Linked DNA regions of Saccharomyces cerevisiae S288C. Changing the gene in region 2 together with the main gene of any one other region gives a genetic interaction. Each region holds a gene or a part of one and is shown on either strand. Other genes may lie near its edges. The genes, in order: YKL162C, KIN2, RHO3 and BNA1.

Region 1 (5,281 bases), on a different chromosome or scaffold from region 2:
TCAGTAGCGCCGCATGAGGTAGTAGCAGAAGGAGTTAAGGTTGACCATGGCTCACTTGGCATATACTGTTGGGCAGAAACAGTATAGTGAAACTGTTATCAAACCAATATATTTGGGCTACATGGCTTTCCTTTCCCGAAAAAGACACCATTTAGTAATTATGTTGTACTTTTACTCTCTGAACTTCTGTGAATATAAAAAATATACTAAATAAAAGGATGCAACTTCCTTAAAGAGGGCAAGATAGCGACATAAAGTGGAAAAGTGTTAGCAACATTGCGCAGGCATCGATTAATATATGCATATATACTTTTTACGTAGTCTACGTTAAATTGTCAATAGATCAAGCAGAATCGGTAGCTCTGTTAAGCGATTAAGCCCAGTGGCTTTTTGTCGCACCGTTTAGGTTCGCGTTAGCAAGATGGAAAAAAAAGAACGCGAATCATGTATTGACGTATGACGTATTAGGCAATTTACAAGATTAAACTTAAATTTGCGACGGAGTTTTGAAGTAGAACGAACACCTTACTCATCCGCAACAGGAAATTTTCACGCAGAACGTGCCTAAGAAAAAAAAATCATATGCGTTTACAGGCACAAATGAAGAAAATGACCGGATATGGATATAAGCTTATGGAAGAAATTGCTCCTATTGAGTTAAGAATATGCGAGCGAGACCTGCATAAGGCTAATTATAACTCTTCAACCCAAATTTGTCTTTCTCTTCACACCCATCTCTTATAGTCCCATATATTCATATGAAAGTTCAATGCTTAGACTCAGTGTGTACTTATGATGTCGTTGAAGGCTATTTGGTCTACTGAAAATCCTACCTCGTACGAATACCCTTATAGTATTATTTAAATATGGGGTTACTATTCGCATTCGTTAGAGTGGTGGGAAATTGATATCTTGTTTGGGAGTTGCGAAACAAAAGAGGAGAAGATATGCGCGCTATGTTTTTCTTAAAAGAATGCCTACTGCCTATGAAATGAATATACTAAACGTAAAAGTGTAGATAATAGAAACAAAGATTAAGGTCGCTTACTGTAAAAAACGTCTTCATTTTAATTCAACGAAATAAAAGAAATCACGTGGAGTGTAGCACCGCCAAAGAGCTATTTTTTATGTCTTCTAGTTGAGGCCTATTTCCATTCTGCGACGAAAGTGTGCTTCTCTCACTTGGGCTAATCCATTTTTCAACAAAATCAGCAACGTCTTCGACTTCGCAGCTACTAGAAGAACTGTTAATACCATTATAAATGTTCTGTAACTGTAAGAAGTCCGTCATGAAGCATATTCTTCCACTCCGTTTGTCTGAAAATATTGAATCCGAATATGGCTGTACTATCTGGCTAGATCCCGTCGGCCGTGGGCTTATTAAACTCTTTAATAACGATATTATTGTTGGGCTCGATCTTTGCGGGGTGTCTACAATGAAAAGTCTATGTTCTGGAATATTATTCTTGATTGTCATCAATATCTCAATTAATTTAGTGGGGATATAAAGTTCTTTACCAGGACTTACATGGGATCGATCATTGAACATTTGTTCTAATGCAAGTTCACATGAGTAGTCAATGGCGCTATCAAAGCTCTTGGATTTTTGTCCATTCTTATTGATATCCACAAAGCACTGTTGCCACCCTTTGTCATCTGAAGAGTACCTTACTAAATCGTGGGTTGTGTATTTTATAACATCATTAAGCATCAAAATTTGGATTGGATCCTCTATGTGAAATTTTTTCTGTAAAAAATATGGGGAAACCGGATAATCTTGTACCAAACTGACTGATCCAGGTATTCCGTCTAAGAGCTTCGAAGGTATTTTGTCACACTTGTATAGAGGTACCATGAAATATTTTATTTTCTGGAACATGTTATCAGATAAAGTAGACTTGAGATATGACATTAAATTTTTGCAAATCTGAATTGCTTGGGGTAAATCCGTGTAAATATTCACAATGTTAAGATCGTAATAAGGATAGTCATTTAATTTGTAATTAACCAGTAGCCATTTGGCAAGGCATTTGCTAAATTGTGGCTCACAGTCAAGAATGTTATCAAATGAAAAGGGTTCTTCTTTTGCGGTTGTAGTTACAGGCTTCCTTTGCGTAAAAAAATTTTCTCTTTTCATTATGTTTGGGAAATTTTGCCACTCTATGTAATCTTTCAAAGAAATTCTCGCAGTTTGGCCTCTTCTTATCCCATTTGTAGAGAGTAATTGCTCGAAAGTAAACAGTGGGTAATCAGATTTCAGATGAACTTGAATTCTCAAGGGGTGTAATCTTTTCATCATTCAATCCCGCCAAAAGCACCTTTAAATGATATCAACTTTTTTGTGAAAATATTAGTAAGCTATTTAAAACGGGAAAGAAAACTTGAGAGAGGACTGACGAGGGAATCATGTTTATATTCGGATCATCGCGAATCTACGCAATGGTGTATCCTACTTTCTCACATTTTGGTTTTTCCCGCTTTCGGAAGGAACTGCAAAACCGCCGAGAGGACTTTCTCTTTTTGCAATATTTGAAGTATATACCAATAATTAAGAAGGTGAACAGGCATTTTACATATTCATTATAGATAGTGTATGTGCGCATCTATTAGTTGTGGTTTTCTGCTACAAAAATTTATCGTCTAAATAATTCAAGTTCTTTTTCTAGGTCGAAGAAAAAATCGCTGTCATCCTCATTTGTATTTTGGTTTGTACCATCATTGACATTTATATCGTGACCTGGGGGAGACGATGAAACTGGGCTCATTTTTGTTATATTTGGCTCAGTAGGTCCGTTCAGTAGTTCACTATTTTCATGCTTAGTATCTTGTTTGAAGGTGTTTTCCTTTTAGTTAACACCCTGAAATGAATTAGAGCTTATTCCCATAAGGTTTTGATATGGCTGGGTTGTAGTTAGTGATGGAAGTTGGCTTACATAGGAAAATTCAGGACTATAACTGGGTAAAACTTTCCTAGAAGGATGGACCTGTACAACTTCTTGAGGAATGGCATCCTCTAAAGATAGTGATGATGATGGGGAATCACCGCTAATAGGATGTTTTCTAACAACTTTCCTGAAATCAAATACTTCCTTTATAACTTCGTTTCCTAATTCCGCCATACTTTCGATATGCTCGAATTCGAATCTAAAGGTCTTTTGACATGAGAATTCCTCATCTATATCATGCCACATTGACAAATATGGATGCTCTAGTGCATCCTCTACAGTAATCCTTTTTTTAGGATCAAATTCTAGCATTTTCTTTAGCAATTCAAGCGCTTCTGGATTAGCACCAGGTAGTATGCTTTCAAACGATCTTCCCGGGATATTACCGAACTGAAAGATATAATTATACACCTTTTGAGAGGCAATTTCCTGCAATGTTTCCTCAGGTGGTGTTCCAAGTATTTGTAGAATATGATTCAAATGATCTACATAATCCTTCCCTTCAAACATTGGTTTCCTACCAAGTAGTTCGGCCAAGATACAGCCTGTTGACCAAATATCGACAGCTTTTGTGCATTCTTGATAATTCAGCAAAATTTCTGGTGCTTTATACCATATCGAGGTTATATAACCCTTAATGAAGCCGTCGTTAACCTTGTGGTTTTCTGAATAACTACACGATAGCCCAAAATTACAAATTTTTAGTTGGCAATCACTATTAACAAGTAAGTTTTTTGGTTTCAGGTCACAATGTAAAACATTAGCAGAATGTATGTATTTCAGAGCACACAGTATCTGATATATGAAGCTTTGAAAGTGTGCGTCTTCCAGGCGTTGTTCGGACCTTATAATTTGAGAAAGGTCACATTCCATTAGTTCTTCATATAAATAAACGCCATTTAGTGCCCCATTTGGGTAAAATACTATATCAGTATCGAAGAGCCACACTATATTTGGGTGCCCTCTTAAATGTCTTAGTAGTTTCAATTCACGAAGAGTTCTCTTGCAAGATAGTTTATTGCCAAACGCGTTTGGTATTTTTCTGATAGCCACGTGAGTTTCCTCGTTCGATTCTGTGTAAGTTGAAGAACAAATAAGGCTGTGTGAGCCCCGACCAATCTTACCTGTCAAATGAAAATGTTTATTTAGGATAAAATCTTGGCCGAATGCACGGAAAATACACCTCTCGGTGTCAGTCGCCATTTAATTGTGAATCTTTCTTCGATATCAAACTATTCCAGGCCGAATTAATCTGGCGGTAAGTCACCTTTAGTTATCCTTCCATTTTGTCCCTTTTCATCCAGTCTCAAACGACAATTAGGACTTACATTAAATAGGCTTTTTGCCTAGTATAACATCATAAAAGTACCTTCTTTTGTTTCTTCCAAAAAAAGACAGTAACCATCTGAAAAGAACGTCATTGTCGAAAATTACAAAGTTTGTGGCAGCGCTTTTTACTGCAGCAAGTCAATTGCTTTCATGGCATTTTCAATCAAAATACGAGTTCTTACTAATTCCTACGGTGCTTCCTGCATTGATTGATCGCGAGTTACTATTTTTAACTCGAATGGGTCTGCGCGTGTTTCTCCGGTGTTGTTCAAAATAATCTGTTTGCTGCGTTTAATAACTACAACAGTTAACGGAAACAGTGAAATTTATTGGGGACTTTCAAGTAACGAATAATCATGCTGGTAGAAATATTTCTATTTTTATAATTAACAAATCTTTTAATGACGTCTTGTGGGCTGAAAACTACGGCGTTTATTTTTTAGATAGGTTATTCCTTCGTTGGATTGAGTAAGAAAATGTCGATACTGTGTTACGTTTGCAAGGAAAAGATTTAGTTGCGATTAGCCATTCATTCTTGTGGAAACTTCTTTAAAAAGGGATGGCGATGGAGTACTTATGTCCAATTATGAAGTCAAATTTATTTTCAAACCGTTACACGTAGATTATTTTCCTGCAGTGGTAAGTATCTTTGAAGTGTTGAAAGTTTTTTGGCACATATTTTTTTGCGGATGTGGGCCTGAGTTTCCTGTTAGAAACAAAGATATGCTTAAAACTAAATAACATTGGAAATTAGGGCATAGTCTTCAATGTTATACTTAAACATCACAGCAGGAGATTGAGATGATTGAAAGAATGGTGCAAGAAATGATTCATTAACATTCTTCCAAGTTTTGCAATATTTGCAAGTATTACTATCAGACTTTAGTTGAAGTGACTATGCTATTACCAAATTTCACTGGAGCCAGAAAAATAAAGATCACTTAGAGACAAAGAAAAGTAACATCTTCAACATAAGCCGGAGCTCAAAAGTAGGAAATCGGATAAGA
Region 2 (7,830 bases):
AAAAATACTTGATGAGTGGATGCTGCACAAAAAACTATCGGGATTATCAATGACTACTGATGCTCCAGATGAACAAAATGAAACCGGTAAAGATGACTTATCTGTTGAAGAAAATGCTGAACTTCAACCCTGCTGGATTCTGGAAATCTTGCCTGACGACATTTTACTGAGAATTATTAAAAAAGTTATATTAATGTCTGGTGAATCTTGGGTGAATTTGTCGATGACTTGTTCCACCTTTAGCAAGCTTTGCTTCCACGATTCTGTGCCATTTAAAACTTTCGCGAAGTACATATATTCTAAGCAAATATACGACAAAATGGCAATGGATCTTAACGGAATCACCGATATAAATACCTTTGAAAAGGAAATATGGCGGGGTGATGATTATCGTATGTTAAGGGAAAGGCCATATATTAAATTCGAAGGTGTTTACATCAGTGTAGTAAATTATGTAAGATACGGTTCCAATGCAGAAAGTTCGTTATCTCTTTTAAAGCCAGTTCACATGATCACCTATTACAGGTATTTCAGATTTTATGAGAACGGCCAATGTTTGAGATTACTTTCTACAGATGAACCTAGCGCTGTCGTGAAGCACTTCTCCAAAGAGAACAAACCCAGGCATAGTCATATGTGTTATTGGAGCCTCGGATTTGATTATGATTTTGGTCATTTAAAGATAACAAGGTCAGATGAAAAGTATACGTTTATCGAAGAATTCCAAATCAAGAATCAAGGCAATAAGAGATATCAACGGTTGAAATGGCTAAGTTCAATTGTAGTGGATAAGGAAGGGAATGCATCTAACTGTTCGTTGAGAAATGAGAAATCTTTTTTCTTCTCCAGAGTGAAATCTTTCAAGGATCCTGGATGACATCGATGTTTTTTGCAGTTGTTTTACTTTATTTATTATTCTTATAGATTTATGTAGAACTATTATTTCATCATATGAAAGATTAAAGAAAGCAGATCTCAGCTTAAATAAATTATACTATAATATTAAAAAAAGATAAATATTAGATAATAAAAATTGAAAGACACACGTTGAAATATTTAGTAAGAACAACGTATCTATAGGTTTAATTCTTTTAAAATATACGATGCCAATTCTTTATATAGCCACGTATTACCAGAAACCTTTTTGAAATGTACACCTGCTAGGCCGACGATACGAACCTTTACAATGTGAATCTCAAATTTAATAGGAGGCCTTTCTTTTATACCAGAAGTATTGGTTTGCTCTGTTTGACCATTTACGTTATTTATATTTTGGGCTCTTGATGTTGTTAAAATATCATCCTGTTGTTGAACATAATCTAATGACATGGAAGATAGTTCCCCTGATGTACCATTACTTTGGTTTCCGTAGTTTGGAGACATTGGGATAGATGAATTTCTTTGATGTGTATTGGTCGCTAAAGGTGTTAGTGGTATATTATTCTGGCCCCTCTTATAAGAACCTTGGCGTTTTATCGAACTATTTCTTGATGCTGAGGACGCTGTACTATGGTAACTGGATGATAATTGACTGTCTAAACTATTTTGCAGATCCATCGCCTTTCCGGAATCCAAACCCACGCCAGTAGTGGTTATAACAGGGACAGCTGCAGTCTCAATAGATGGCCTTTGTTGGACACATATGAACCCGCCTTTCACTTCTTTGAAATCAATATTCATTCTTGTTAAAACAGATATGATATTGTGACGAACAATAGGCAATGGTTTAGAGGAGGTTGTTTGTACAGAGAAAAAACCCTTCAAAAACATTGACTTTGGATAATCAATTGATGGCATAGACCCGGGGGGTGCCTTTGAAGCTTCCTCCAAAATTTGCTTCTCAGTAAGCTCCTGAGAATACACCGAAGTCAGTCTATTGTTAGTATCGTTACTGTATGTGGTAGAATCTTCAGGAACGGTCGAAAAGTTACTGCTAACAGGATTGTATCTCTCCTTGTTTGCCTCTCCCAAAAAGCCGTTATCGTTTGTCATATCTGATGGCGGAAGGGCTGCTGGTATAGGCGGCCTAGTAAATTTCAAAGATTCACGACGAGCATGCCCCACCGATTTAGCCCTTGCACTAGGATGTAACTTACGACCCTTCGGAACGGAGAGATAATGGTCACTATTATCATTATTGATACCATCGACTACAGCGTTCACATTGTTGTTATCATTATCATTAATTTGTAATTTGTCGAGATTTTCCTGTAATAGTTTTTGCCGTTGTTTTTGAACAATTAGTTCGGCGTTCTGAGGTAAAGCTGGAAGATCACTGTTTTGCTTTTGTGATACTGACCTTATAGGAGGTGCTATGGTAGTGTTTTTAGCGGGTTTCTGTTTTACATCAACAGAATTTGGCACGTAAGATGGATATCTTCTAGCGCTAGGAATATAATCTGATATAGTACGACTATGGCTTTTCGGTACTTTGATGGAAATTTCATTTGATTTTGACATATATGTTGGAGGTTCTCTTTCTGGAAGAGGTTCCTGTTGCCGTGTGGGATGCTGAGATTGTCCACTTTGTGATATTCTTCTGAATATGCCGCCTATTGTATTCTTTTCCTGATGTTCACCTACTACGGGTGAAGCAGAACGTTGCTGATATTCGCCAGACACGGGGACTGGTGTTGATTTCAAAACACCATTTAATTCCGTATGAATGTCGGAACTCTTCCTAGATGTTGGAGAAGTATGCGCTTGTTCCGGTATTGTTAGTTTAGGAGGAACCATTACATGCAGTGGAGGTTTGTTTGAGGTATTAGTGTTGTTTGAGGTTCCCGATGTTCCAATTGCCGGCACTTGAAAAATACCAGGATTAGGTACTACTTCTTTCTGAGGGCTCCTCATTTTGGTCATAATATCCGGGGAGTTATTATTTAAGGCGACCTTAGTGCCAAGTGCTACTTGTTGCTGTTGTTGCCTTTGCTGAGCTTGCGCTTGCAGGGCCAATGCTTGCCTTCTTTGCAACTTCGCTAATTTCCGTGCAACCATTTCTGAAACCAAGTGATATATTGATAGTAATGGATGATATGCTAAAGTAGGATCTTCAAAATTACTATCTGGTTCATTATAACCACTTTGCGATGGATTACTTGTAATATGATTTTGTATTAAGGTTTGTTGTGCCGTTGAATTTAGGTAGTTATTATTTAAACTTGAACTCAACCCCTTGGCGTTGGATAATTTGTCCCAGTATTCTTGGGAAAGTTGGATGTATTCCTTTTCAGTTACTAATCGGATCAATGATCTTCTTGTATCTTCAATATCGTCAATAAATTCTAGGCGATACATTTCCTTCAGAACTTGGCTATCTATCATTTCAGGGGTTAATGGAACACGATTAGGAACATATGATGGAGCCTTAAAATCGTATCCTCTGTTCATCCATGGATGCTCAACGACATTCTTTAATGTTGCTCTTCTTAATGGGTCGACAACAATCATCCTGGTTAATAAAGATATAACTTCAATGGATAAGTGTGAAGGATAGTCTACTTTACCTTTTTTTATTTTTTCATGTAAAATGCTTGAGTTCTCATCATCAAATGGTACTTTACCGCAGACCAAGACATAAAGAACAATACCAAACGACCAAATATCTACCTCAGGTCCTGTGTATGGCTGCGCTTTTAATAGTTCTGGTGCTGCAAAGTACAAGGAACCACAAAACGTATGTAATTGTTTCCTATAATCAAAAATGTTGGAAAGACCAAAATCAATGATCTTAATTTCACCTGAACTAGATATCATTATATTCTCAATTTTCAGATCTCGATGAACAATATTATTGGCATGTAAGTATTGCAGCGCACTAGCTATACCTCTGGCAAATTTCCTCGCATGGTGTTCCTTTAATGAGCCATGCTGAATAATATAATCTAACAGCTGTCCACCGGAAACGTATTCAAAAAGCATATAAAAATGGTTTGACATAGTGCACATTTCAAATAAACGACAGATATGAGGATGGTAAAGGATTTGGCCCAAAGAGGCTTCCCTAACAGTCCTTTTATCCCTCGCAATTTCTTTTTCTAACCGCTTTTGTCTTTCTAATATCTCACTCTCATTCTTTGGGGAAGGTAAAGAGTGCTGTTTATGGAGATAAGCCTTGGAAGCCCTATTAACAATCTTTATTACACAAATTTCCTTTGTTTGACGATGCTTGACCAATTTAACTTTACCCATAGAGCCTGCGCCAACCGTTTCAAGGAACTCCCAATCTCCCAAAGATCTTCTATGAAATTGCCTTAATTCCACGGCGCCATTAGGCCTCGATGCATCATTTTGTCTCTGAGCTGCCTGTTCCTTGCCCTGTTTGATATCTGCAGGAGGCATCAGTGGTGCTTGTTGCTGGTCATTTCTTGGTCCAGATTGCTTGCCCATCATGCGAAGAGTGGCTGGTGCAGCAACTCGCGTGTCGTTGAAAGCTTCTGGCGTCGGCGATAAAGATCCGCCCTTACTGGTCCTGAAATTTGGATTCACCAAGTAATCTGCTGTATTCGGATTAGGCATAGTGAAATACTTAACAATTGAGCCGCGATATTAATGGCACAATAAAACTTTTAGAAATTTCTTTTGAAAAGCGTTTCTCGGTACCTAATGCTGTTCGCGCTCAGAGTTCCGCTGAATTTCGTGTAATGCAGTATATTTTGTAATAAAGTTCTCGTGGCCCGTCCTTGACTGTGAATTTGTGTCAACGGCGTGCTCTATTCCTTGCTTAAACGGTGGCAAAGCAGGACTTCTAGGTCCACTTGAGCTCTTCTTTTCCTTTTCCAACCTTTTTAAATTTTCGTTGCTAGACCAAGTTACCGCTATCACCGCACACGGAATGCGAGAGCGTCAAAAGTGACATAATTCTTCCTTTCCAGCAACATTAACATTTATTTATTCAATAGTGACACGACTAAGAAACTAGATCAATTGCTCTATTTTACTCATACACACTGGCTAATCATATATAGATACAAAGCGGTGAATCAGCGATCGATGAGAACGAAGAGAACTAGGGGTACAAGAAATGTAGGAGCGAGCATGCCTGCCGGCGCTGCGAATGCGGATAGTGAAGACTGGAAAGAATATGTCTCCGAAGACATAATAGCCCAATTGAACAAGCACCAGCTGCCGTATTCTGAAATATTAGATGAGAAGATCGCGGACTTGGCCAATCACTGGCACTTCCAGTATGTGATGGCTTGGCTTTCCAATGTCTGCGAATCATATACTACAACGACATTTAATACTGACCAGTATGGCGGTAGCTCTACCAAATGCTTGTGGAAGAATATCAAATTCGATGAAGGTGTATTTGTAACTGACGTATTTTCGAAGATAGACGGGAAGGACTCGAACTATTACAATGATGAAGTCGACGTAGATGAAGGATCGCAAAATTTGTACGACAGAATTAGATTGCAATTATTGCATCAATTAGCGGGAAATAAAAGCGGGCAATTGAAAGATTGGAATGTTATAGTTAACCATCACTTGCAAAACTCGAGCGCGTATTCAGATTTGGTTACGGACTTACCTTTTTTGGAGCTTGAAATTGCACGCCAATTCGACATCATTTACAGTATCATAAAATTAATTGAAATGAAAAATATGATCTTCAAAAACTACTTAGCGAATAACTTGCATCTGTTTACGTTTAGTGAAGTTATACTGGATGATGATAATAGTGGAGGGGAGGAAATGAAGAGCTTGTTTGCCTTACCCAATGTTGGTGTACTCGTAAAGAAAACCATTCACAGAGTAAAAGAAGGCTCTTCCTCCCAAGTCTCTCAAACTCTGAATATCCCAATAAAACTACAGAACTGTACTATAAAAGAAAGCGACCCAGACATTCCTGATTCAGTGGAGCTTATTCATCTCGAGTACTCTCACGATATCGATGCATATCTTCAATCGATTACAATTGATTATGATGTGATTACAACTAATTGGGGGTCCATGCTAGAATACTGGTCAGAGAATAAAAGTTCGAAAGCCATAGATGAGTTCATAACTAACTTAATACCGGTGTATGCCGAACATAGACTATATTCGGCAAAACTTTTGGCCAACAGAGAAAAGGAGAGAGCAATTGCGGAGCTAATGACAAGGAGGAAAAGATCTTCGAGACTGGTAGCGAAAGAGGAAGAAAACAAGAAAAAAGACTTGGAAAGTGAGTGGTTTGAAAAACTAGATGAAAGAGAACAATTTATAAGGCACAGAAACAAGCTAGTGTCGAAGGAAATCAAAAAGATAAAAGATCTTCTTTGGAACCAATTGTGGCAATTGTACGATCAAGATTATAGAGATGAAAAATTGACCAGGCGTAACGAGCTCAAAGATAGAAGTGGTTCTGGTACACCGTTTTTTGAAACGTCTTTGGGCAGGGAGGAGGACAATCCCTTAAATGAAATCGATATCGGAGTTCTTGATCACGGCCCTAACTTTCAATCTAGTATAATCCCGGTGGAACCACCAATTCCTGGAACTGTTGGGCCACTACAGACGGGAGACGTCCCTGAATTGCCTAGTGACTTCTGCATAACAAAGGAAGAGCTAGATGAGCTTGCCAACTACGGGATCTTTACTCCGCAGCAAGAGCCCGACAACCAAGATTCTGTTTTCCAATGTCCGGGCGAACCAGAGCTGGCGCCCATGATTATCACCGAAGACACGGAGACTGACCTCTTCAATAACCGCCCATTGATATGCTGTGATCATTGTTACAGGTGGCAGCATTGGGAATGCCAACCTCCAAAAATTATAGAGCTTATATCTTCAACCACAAAATCCCCACAGCACACGCTGTCGCAACGTGATTTTGGCGTCATCATAATGGGAAATTCGCACGGCAATAGAAGGTCTTCTCGCAGACCCCAATCCACACTTGAACCCAGCACCAAGTCTTCAAGACCTACTGATAAACGCAAACCGCTGTCTGAATGCTCCACTTTTATCTGCGCTTGGTGCATCAGGGACTTGGAACTTGAGCTGCGCAACATTTTTGTGCCTGAATTGAAAATAATAAGGGCCAAACAAAGAAAACAACAGGAAGACCGTGAAAGAAGAAAAAAAATGAAGGAAGAAAAGAAAAGGCTCGAAGAGCTTGCAAAGAAAAGGGAACTAACCGAGTCTGTCTCACCTCCAGTGTTTAATAATGCATTTGCAAACATGTCAAGTAGCACAACGCCTAGTATCGCCGCTTACGAAAAAACAAATCCAGCCATCAATCCAGCACCTAATGTAAATGCCGCTCACCCCATAATTACATACTCGCAGCAAACTGGCAGCAAAACTGTACCACAAGCACCACAGGCACCACAAACATCACAAGCATCAATCCAACCACAGCAGCAACAGCAACAGCAACAGCAACAGCAACCGCTGCACCCTAAAGAACAGAACTTTCACTTCCAGTTCCCACCAACCAACTAGCCTCATATAGAAATACACAGCAAAAGTATATAGTAAAATATATATCAACTGGTTCTTCATGAAACTTTCTTTTCCAGCCGCACATCCGTAGGGCTTCTGTCGCTTCATGTCGGGTAATAATGATGCTTAGGGCTTAGCGCCAAAATAATTAGGGTGTATGAGGCGGCTCCTGACTAGGGTCAGACGGCATTTTTTCGTCTTTTTTTATCCGGTTTTTCGTCAGTGGCCATCCTTAATGCGCGGCAAAGGTGCTGAAGGCGCCTTATTGTGTTAAAAAAGCCAATGAAATAAAAGTGGGATGGTGAGAACGCCAAACGAGTGAAACAGAGAATGGAAACTCGCTTCTTCACAAGTATTTGATGGCTAGTTTTCTCAATTACTTGTTTCTTTGGATAGACA
Region 3 (4,955 bases), on a different chromosome or scaffold from region 2:
AAGAATGACAGTAATCACCATTGCCAAGAGAGGCCTTCCAAAATTAACCACTTCCACTTCTTCGACAACAACTGCCAGTTCAAGTAGTACGATAACATCTGTTGCTTCTTCTTCATCTTCTTTACCACTTTTGTCCAACTCTACATCCTCTTCTATTATACCAAGTATTACTCCTCCCTCTAGAAATGGTAATCCTTATATTTTGGATTCCGGGGATATGCCTAATGGAACAGTTTTCATTGTAGTGGGGGGAATCGCGGGAGTGATTTTTTTGGCAATATTGCTATGGTGGGTAATAACAACTTATTCTTCGCATAGGTTGACCAGAAGTGTTCAGGACTACGAATCAAAGATGTTTTCCACACAACATACCCAGTTTTACGGCGATTCCCCATATATGGATTATCCCGCCAAAGAAAATTTCCAAGATCAGGTCCATATCAGCGAGTCCGATATTAGTCCCGGAAATAAGGATGAATCGGTGAAAGATGCACTTGTATCTCATACTAATAATGAAAAACCATTCTTAAGTAATTTCGAAAGGCCGCTATTCTCTCTTGCATCCGAATCCAACAGAAATTCACTTTTCATTTCACCAACAGGTGATATCTTATACAAAACAAGGCTATCTAAACTTTACCAAGAAAGCCCTAGATTATTACAGAAACCTGTGATTATGACAAGTGATAATGTATCTACAAATTCTCTGGTGTCTACAATCTCTTCATCATCCGCATCGTCGCTCGATAACGGTAATGAAAAGGAGGTGGGTGAAGACATAAGGAAACCCGCAAAAATTGCATCTTCACCAAGTCGAAAGCTGCTTAATTCACCAGAAAGTGATGGTAGCGTAAATCGTAACCATAGTAAGGGTAATTTGTTGGTCGTACAGTCCAAAAGAAAACCTACACCTTCGACTTATCTCGAGCACATGCTGGAGGGGAAAGAACAGGATGAGTAAAAACTTTTATGATATTTTGCAATATTTTTTTTAAGCAGTGGTAGTAATTACATAAAAAATATAAAATAGTAGGAGTATTATTAACTTCTATAACTTATTATATTATTTGTTTAGTCTCTCTTTTTGGGTTCTATTCTTTTGTGTGTGCGTCCGTGTCTTATTATATTACATAATGGTACAGCTGGATCCACTGTCACTTTTCACTTCGGTTGCTACTGGGCCCGCGGTTAAAGCAACTCTTGCGGCTTCTGTGAAAGCTTCGTTGACACCTTTATTCAGCTTAGCGCTACATTCCAAATAACGTAGCGCACCGATCTTTTTAGCCATAGCTAGACCTTCTTCATAACTTATCAGGTTTTTGCCGTTTGAGGTGCTATTTATGTTATTTCCGTTGTCGTTAGAAACGCTGTTATCCTGTTGGATATTGTTCGGTGTGATTGCGTTAGATTCATTTTCATTGTTTCTTAAGTCACACTTTAGTGCAACTAAGACTAACTTGACGCCTTCACAATGATCAGTGATTTCACCCACCCATTTATTTTGGACATTTTCTAAAGAATCGCGTGAATCAATACTGAAACATAACATTATACATTGCGTATCTGAATAAGACAAGGATCGTAACCTGTCAAATTCCTCTTGGCCCGCAGTATCCCACAACGATAGCGTGATATGTTTACTGTCAACGAAAATATCATGGATATAGTTTTCAAAAACAGTAGGCTCATAAACTTCGGGAAAATAACCTCTGGTGAAAACATTCAGCAACGAAGTTTTACCACAGGCACCGTCGCCCAAAATAACGATCTTTCTTTCGATCGGTTTATTTGACGTTGAAGCTGACCCACATAGAAATGACATGTTTGTTTCCCTTTACCTTGTGCTACTATGGATTTTAATGAAAAACTTGTTGTTATAAAGTAAAAAATGCTGACCAGAGCTAGAGATGAGAACGATAAAAAAACGAAAATCAATGGTTGCCTATTTTCCAGTAAATTCAAAATAATACATGTTTTTTCTTTCTTTTTCTTTTCTTTTTACTGTTTACCAATTTTCAGGAATGTTAAGAAAGATAAAAGAAATATACAAGATGCCATTAACGGGTAATGGCACCAGTATATCTATGACGGGTAATCCTGTTAGTGGATGTCAAAAAACGTTCTTGGGGTTTCCCGGACGCCTTACACTATTTTGTAAAAAAGCTCATCCACACCCCTCTCCTTGTATTTCTTATCTATAATCTACTATTTCTCGCGTAGGTGCGGTAACGCTGTTCCAAGAAAAAAGTTGGCCGACGACTGGTTCTGGGCCGGGCTCGACCGGAAGTGGTAAGTGGCCTCAATTTGAGTTTCGCTTACTCCTTCCATTCTTACAACACACCCGAAGTTTAATTCACGTGACCAGATAAGGGATTTATTATATGTTTATTGTAAAAAAAATAAGGTAGATAGACATATTACATTTCCTCGTGCTTATCGAAGTATTTTTCTTAGACATCTCGCATGACCACAATGCTGGCTCGAAGGCATTTACTCTTTCCTTGGGGAGATGTGCTTACTGTGATTGATTATGTATTCTTGCGTGCATCTGCAAATCTGCGTTGACTAATTTCGGAGTCTTTTAAACACAGAAGCATTACAGGCCCCTCTCCTCACTTGTGCCCAGTATGCAAGTGTGCTTTCCTGTGAAAACTCCTTCATTTTCTTTTCTTACGCATATGCATAGTCGGATTCCAGCTATTTCCATAGTAAAGAAGAAGAAAAAGTAAATACTTCCTTTTCACATGGGCCGGCCGATGCAGGTCCTCAGGTACTTCGTTTATAAGCTTATATAAGCATGCAAAATTAAACGAGGTGGCTGCTTTAAGAGCGTGCAGAATATAGTCACTTACTACCCTAAGTTAGGACTTTGTCTTAGGAACAAACACATCAAAAATGTGCAGAACAACAAGCCCGCGGGGGTTTTTGCGGTTGACTACTCCTGCTTCATGTCTTTTCTCCCCTGCCATTTGTGCTTCTGGATTTGCTTGAAGGTAACCTTAAAGGATCTGCGCATCTTTCTCTTACGAAAACAAGTATAAGATTTTGCCTGGGCAAACTTAAATTACGGAAAAAGGAGTCGTCGAGAATGTTGCCCTTCCACATTTGGATTAGCTGATAAACGTAAATTGGGGGGGGGGGGGGTCGGTTAAATTTTGTCGACGGGAATGGAATTTTCTCTGGTATTTGCCGCAGCTTGCAGATAGTAGAGCCGATCTTGTGAGGTTAACACCGCATATGGCATTCTGTTGCAAAGTTAAAATGCGTCACCCACCCTAGCGCCTAGGGTCGAGTACTGTTTTAAACTTTTTCAAGACCGGGCGTACCATTGTGCTTGTTCCTTACTTCGTTATTTTCTTGCATATTATATTGGTTGAGATTATTTCTATGGACTATATATAAATAAGGGACGGTCGTATTGTTCTTTTATGTCTGCATCCTAAAGAGTATTTTTTTTTATAGTCTTGTTTTCTTGTTCAAATTAAAGAAAGATCTAATAGTTTTCGTAATACTGAAACTACTCTTTTTTTTTCCTTACAATCTGACTTTTTTTGTATTTCCTTTTTTTCCGTTTGGTTATCCAGACTACAGTTCATGGTAGTATATCATATTATCGTATTCGTTTAACTATTTCTCAGTCCTTTTTTTTAAGTCTTTTTTTTTTTTTCTCATCATTTTATTACTGATATTTATAAAATGTACTTGGAATATCTTCAACCGAAGTTGAACCTAATGGATGAGTCTAGCACTATAAGCAAAAATTTCCCTGATTATTCACCAAATTTAAACACACCCATTACTTCAAATTTTAATGAAGAAACGGGTTCGGACTGCTCTTTAGTTACTCCAAGAATAATTTCCAGTTCAAATTCGAATTCGAACTCCAATTCTAATTCGAACTCCAACTCCAACTCAGGCTCTATTGACGAAAATGAGCTAAACAACTCTAATTCATCCTCCTCGTCTGCAAGACAGATAAGGAAAAAATGGAAAGAGCCTGAGGATATAGCATTCATTACTACAATAATGAATAATTCTCAATTACTAACATTCGTAGAATATTTCAAGCCTATGAAGAATTTTTGGAAAAAAATTTCAAAAATCCTATTCCAACAATATGGGTACGAGAGAAACTCTCGTCAATGTCATGATAGATTTAAAGTCTTATACACAAAGTCTTTGAAAGTGCATCCATCAAAGAAATCCAAGCAAAAGAAAAAAAAATCAAAACAAGAGGCAGGCTCAAACTTAAATTTTGATCCGTCAAAATTATCTAGAATGCAGTATTTGCTAGTGCAGTTACAAAACACTTTTAGTTTTGTAAACGGAAACATTATACTCAAGTCGCAAAAAACATTGAAGCCGAACAAGAATGGTACTAATGATAATATTAATAACCATTATTATAATAATTGTAACAATAACAATAATAATATTAACAATAGTAACAATAGCAACAATAATAATAGCAATAATATTAATAGGAATAGTAATCATAGTACTAATGTTTTTAGTACACCAGAGCATATTCAGTCAAGTATCAACCTCGATAAATTAGAATCTTTGCCAGCTTTGGATACCAAAGGAGAACCATCCTTCATTAGCCCGGCTCAATTTTCCCTTTTGTCATCAGCACCGGCAGACAATCTAATCCTGCAAACTCCACCATCGCCATTTTTCCAGCAAACAATGCCTATACAGCTACCGCGCGATGCACAACAAGAACAAATTTCCCCAGTTTTCTCTACAGATGTCATATACATGTGGCAAACAATGTTTAACACTATTGAAAATTTAAAGGAACAAGTAAACTGCTTAAAAAATGAAGTTAAGCAATTAAACCATAAATTTTACCAACAAAATAAACCGTTGCATAATATGTCAACTTCAGACTCAGAAAATTTTATGCAACAACATTAAAGTATGTATCGGGAAGTCTCCACCATAAATTTTCT
Region 4 (4,771 bases), on a different chromosome or scaffold from region 2:
TTGATTTTCCCTTTAAGTCCTGAAAATACTATCATGGCGTAAAGGGAAAAAAAAAAACTAATCTTACGTGGTTCTTATAAGATGGACCAGCAAGCTGCATACAGTACACCATACAAGAAGAACACACTATCGTGCACCATGTCAGCCACCTTGAAAGACTACTTAAATAAAAGAGTTGTTATAATCAAAGTTGACGGCGAATGCCTCATAGCAAGCCTAAACGGCTTCGACAAAAATACTAATCTATTCATAACCAATGTTTTCAACCGCATAAGCAAGGAATTCATCTGCAAGGCACAGTTACTTCGAGGCAGCGAGATTGCTCTTGTTGGCCTCATAGATGCAGAAAATGATGACAGTCTAGCTCCTATAGACGAAAAGAAGGTCCCAATGCTAAAGGACACCAAGAATAAAATCGAAAATGAGCATGTAATATGGGAAAAAGTGTACGAATCAAAGACAAAATAATATAGTTGCAATAATAGTAATAATAATAATAATAATAATAATAATAATAATAATAATAATAATAATACCATGTATAGAAGTATATAAATCATACAATAAATTTAAGCATTAACCCGTCACGGACTGGCCATCTTCAGATGCTTCTTCTCTTCGCCAATGCCACAGTCGGGAGGAATCCCCATTTGGTACATCTTTATGGCCAGCTCCATCAAATAATCGATGGCTTCGTTGAAAATTTTGGCCTTATCGATTGTCGGACCCCAAACAAAAATGCCATGTCTCCTCACAATTACGGCGCATGTGTCTGGATAATCTTTAAAAGTCTTGTGCAAGTCATCGATCAACTCGTCCTCATGCGCCATGTTTTCAATGATGGGAATCTTCAGCGTATCAAAAAACGATAGCGCCATGGGTTTCTTGGTCACAGGGTCCACCTTTCCGCTTGGAATTGCTTTGATTTGTTCGATGTTAGCAATCCTGAACTCATCGCCAAATAGCAAGGAGCATATCACAGCATTTTGGGAGTGTGTATGTATTATAGCACCTGCATTTTTCTTTTGGTAGCACGCTAAGAACAATGGAGTACATGCGCTTGGCTTGTAAAGCTTGGGAGAGCGCAAATACTCTAATGTCTGAGCGTCCATGACAAACAAATCCTCAGGTATCATCTTCTCCTTCTGCACCCCAGATGGGGCGAGATAATAATAATTCGTGTTAGGATCTTTTATTGAAATCCCACCTCCAGTTCCGGTGCACCAATTATTATGAAAAAACTGCTTGCATAGCGTGCAAATGAGATTTGCTGGATGGCACGGATCATCTGAATGTATCAGAACATCTTGTGAAGACATAGTCGTTCACTGGCTCCCCTTGTTAGTTCAGTGCTTAAAAACGTTACATATCTTGATGAACAGCTAGCTGCTTTGATCAAGAGAAAAAAAAAAAAAATTGGCACCGCATCTTAGTGCCGCAATCTTACGTAACAAGAGAGCTATAAAAGTACAACTAACAACTCTTCTAATACTTAATTAGATTGAGGGCGTGCGTAGTTTAACGTCTTGCAATGGAAACATGTCCTCTTTTCGACATCATTTTCAAAATCTAAAATGGCTTCTTTCACTTGGGTACCTAAGTCTAACATTTGCAGTTCACTCTCGTGGACCACTTGGCGACAATGAGAACAGTACCACCTTATCTTATCGTTTTCTCCCCCAGGCCTATCTTGTTCCACAACAATACCCACAGTATCAGCAAACCGAACAGGACTGTGAGGAACATTTCCTGGCAATAAATATGAATCGCCTTCATTGATGATGATATCAATGAACTTTGGTTCAGCGTCTGTCTCATCCACAACCTTTAAAAGCATAGATCCTTTTTTTTGATAGAACCATTCGGGAGTTGGATTGATGTGATAACCGGTTCTTTCATTAGGCCCACCGACAATCATCACAGTGAATCCCCCTTTATGTAAGCAATAATTATTCACCGGTGGTTTCAAAAGGCCTTCGTTCTCCTTCAACCATTTGTCGATATTAATTGGTGTAGTATTAAACATTTTTTTCGATTTTTTTGGTAAATGTATGCTATTTCAGTTACTTGTAGACTGTCGTGAAAAGAATAAAGAAAGAATCTTTTACGTCCGTTTTTTTACTTTGCCGAATATGTTTCAGTGACTCACAATTTATCCTGACGCCGTCACAAAGGCAGCCATTCCATTGCAATAACGACACTCTGAATATTCACGAACGTTCACCAGACATTTGGAGGCAGCGTTCTAAATGCCGATACCCGTTCAGGAGTACAGGTGTCAGTGACAGAAAAATAATGGCACCGTTGACGTCGAAAATACATCCGCGCAAATTTTGACAGGCTATTTTGGCAGCGCAATCAAAGAATAAACTTGGTATAGTAAGGAAGCCAGTTACTGTACGCATGAATTACGGTAGCTTTTTTTATTTTATTTATTTTTTTTTTTTTTGGACAAATAGAAAAATTTTTATTATTATGTAAGATTATTGAAGTAAAAATACAATTGGACGAATCTAGTTAGATTGCCAAGATGTGTTAAAAGGCAAGATTAACTTATGAACATGATCTACAACGTCCTGGTTTTTAAATTCGAGTAAATACGCCTCCTTTTTATCTGTGAATGACAGTCCTGTTCTCCCAAGTCTTTTTACATCATGGAGACGGGAGTTATACTCTCTCGGGTACAAGGTTCCTTCAGCATCAGAACAGATCACAAACTTTATCGCAACAACAATTCCTTTATATTCCTGGGAAAATATGTCGGTATAGCCTACTCGAGACGGCTTCCAAACATCAGCTTTCGTTTTAACATGTTGCTGTTGGAATAAAAATCCACTATCGTCTATCAACTAATAGTTATATTATCAATATATTATCATATACGGTGTTAAGATGATGACATAAGTTATGAGAAGCTGTCATCGAAGTTAGAGGAAGCTGAAACGCAAGGATTGATAATGTAATAGGATCAATGAATATAAACATATAAAACGGAATGAGGAATAATCGTAATATTAGTATGTAGAAATATAGATTCCATTTTGAGGATTCCTATATCCTCGAGGAGAACTTCTAGTATATTCTGTATACCTAATATTATAGCCTTTATCAACAATGGAATCCCAACAATTATCTCAACATTCACATATTTCTCATGGTAGCGCCTGTGCTTCGGTTACTTCTAAGGAAGTCCACACAAATCAAGATCCGTTAGACGTTTCAGCTTCCAAAACAGAAGAATGTGAGAAGGCTTCCACTAAGGCTAACTCTCAACAGACAACAACACCTGCTTCATCAGCTGTTCCAGAGAACCCCCATCATGCCTCTCCTCAACCTGCTTCAGTACCACCTCCACAGAATGGGCCGTACCCACAGCAGTGCATGATGACCCAAAACCAAGCCAATCCATCTGGTTGGTCATTTTACGGACACCCATCTATGATTCCGTATACACCTTATCAAATGTCGCCTATGTACTTTCCACCTGGGCCACAATCACAGTTTCCGCAGTATCCATCATCAGTTGGAACGCCTCTGAGCACTCCATCACCTGAGTCAGGTAATACATTTACTGATTCATCCTCAGCGGACTCTGATATGACATCCACTAAAAAATATGTCAGACCACCACCAATGTTAACCTCACCTAATGACTTTCCAAATTGGGTTAAAACATACATCAAATTTTTACAAAACTCGAATCTCGGTGGTATTATTCCGACAGTAAACGGAAAACCCGTACGTCAGATCACTGATGATGAACTCACCTTCTTGTATAACACTTTTCAAATATTTGCTCCCTCTCAATTCCTACCTACCTGGGTCAAAGACATCCTATCCGTTGATTATACGGATATCATGAAAATTCTTTCCAAAAGTATTGAAAAAATGCAATCTGATACCCAAGAGGCAAACGACATTGTGACCCTGGCAAATTTGCAATATAATGGCAGTACACCTGCAGATGCATTTGAAACAAAAGTCACAAACATTATCGACAGACTGAACAATAATGGCATTCATATCAATAACAAGGTCGCATGCCAATTAATTATGAGAGGTCTATCTGGCGAATATAAATTTTTACGCTACACACGTCATCGACATCTAAATATGACAGTCGCTGAACTGTTCTTAGATATCCATGCTATTTATGAAGAACAACAGGGATCGAGAAACAGCAAACCTAATTACAGGAGAAATCTGAGTGATGAGAAGAATGATTCTCGCAGCTATACGAATACAACCAAACCCAAAGTTATAGCTCGGAATCCTCAAAAAACAAATAATTCGAAATCGAAAACAGCCAGGGCTCACAATGTATCCACATCTAATAACTCTCCCAGCACGGACAACGATTCCATCAGTAAATCAACTACTGAACCGATTCAATTGAACAATAAGCACGACCTTCACCTTAGGCCAGGAACTTACTGAATCTACGGTAAATCACACTAATCATTCTGATGATGAACTCCCTGGACACCTCCTTCTCGATTCAGGAGCATCACGAACCCTTATAAGATCTGCTCATCACATACACTCAGCATCATCTAATCCTGACATAAACGTAGTTGATGCTCAAAAAAGAAATATACCAATTAACGCTATTGGTGACCTACAATTTCACTTCCAGGACAACACCAAAACATCAATAAAGGTATTGCACACTCCTAACATAGCCTATGACTTACTCAGTTTGAATGAATTGGCTGCAGTAGATATCACAGCATGCTTTACCAAAAACGTCTTAGAACGATCTGACGGCACT

Evidence for each region.
Region 1: mutations in KIN2 (region 2) and YKL162C together harm fitness more than expected from each alone (negative genetic interaction), as found in Saccharomyces cerevisiae (3 studies listed by BioGRID).
Region 3: of KIN2 (region 2) and RHO3, extra expression of one rescues a mutant of the other (dosage rescue), as found in Saccharomyces cerevisiae (one study listed by BioGRID).
Region 4: mutations in KIN2 (region 2) and BNA1 together harm fitness more than expected from each alone (negative genetic interaction), as found in Saccharomyces cerevisiae (2 studies listed by BioGRID).

Annotation. Positions count from the first base shown.
Region 1 is NC_001143.9:146,540-151,820, forward strand, and holds YKL162C (type II protein arginine methyltransferase), read right to left. Parts: upstream 2,300-5,281; coding exon 1,091-2,299; downstream 1-1,090. Other genes in the region: putative protein kinase KDX1, read right to left, coding at 2,847-4,148. UniProt on the Saccharomyces cerevisiae protein: Arginine methyltransferase involved in the assembly or stability of mitochondrial NADH:ubiquinone oxidoreductase complex (complex I).
Region 2 is NC_001144.5:329,278-337,107, reverse strand, and holds KIN2 (serine/threonine protein kinase KIN2), read right to left. Parts: upstream 4,519-7,830; coding exon 1,075-4,518; downstream 1-1,074. Other genes in the region: SCF ubiquitin ligase complex subunit HRT3, read left to right, coding at 1-877; IOC2 (Ioc2p), read left to right, coding at 4,993-7,431.
Region 3 is NC_001141.2:136,619-141,573, reverse strand, and holds RHO3 (Rho family GTPase RHO3), read right to left. Parts: upstream 1,823-4,955; coding exon 1,127-1,822; downstream 1-1,126. Other genes in the region: pheromone-regulated protein PRM5, read left to right, coding at 5-961; RPI1 (Rpi1p), read left to right, coding at 3,697-4,920. UniProt on the Saccharomyces cerevisiae protein: Plays an important role in cell growth. Required to keep the uninucleated state. Modulates morphogenesis during bud growth via directing organization of the actin cytoskeleton and the position of the secretory machinery for exocytosis.
Region 4 is NC_001142.9:469,646-474,416, forward strand, and holds BNA1 (3-hydroxyanthranilate 3,4-dioxygenase), read right to left. Parts: upstream 2,027-4,771; coding exon 1,493-2,026; downstream 1-1,492. Other genes in the region: U4/U6-U5 snRNP complex subunit LSM8, read left to right, coding at 139-468; methylthioribulose 1-phosphate dehydratase MDE1, read right to left, coding at 585-1,319; YJR026W (gag protein), read left to right, coding at 3,115-4,437.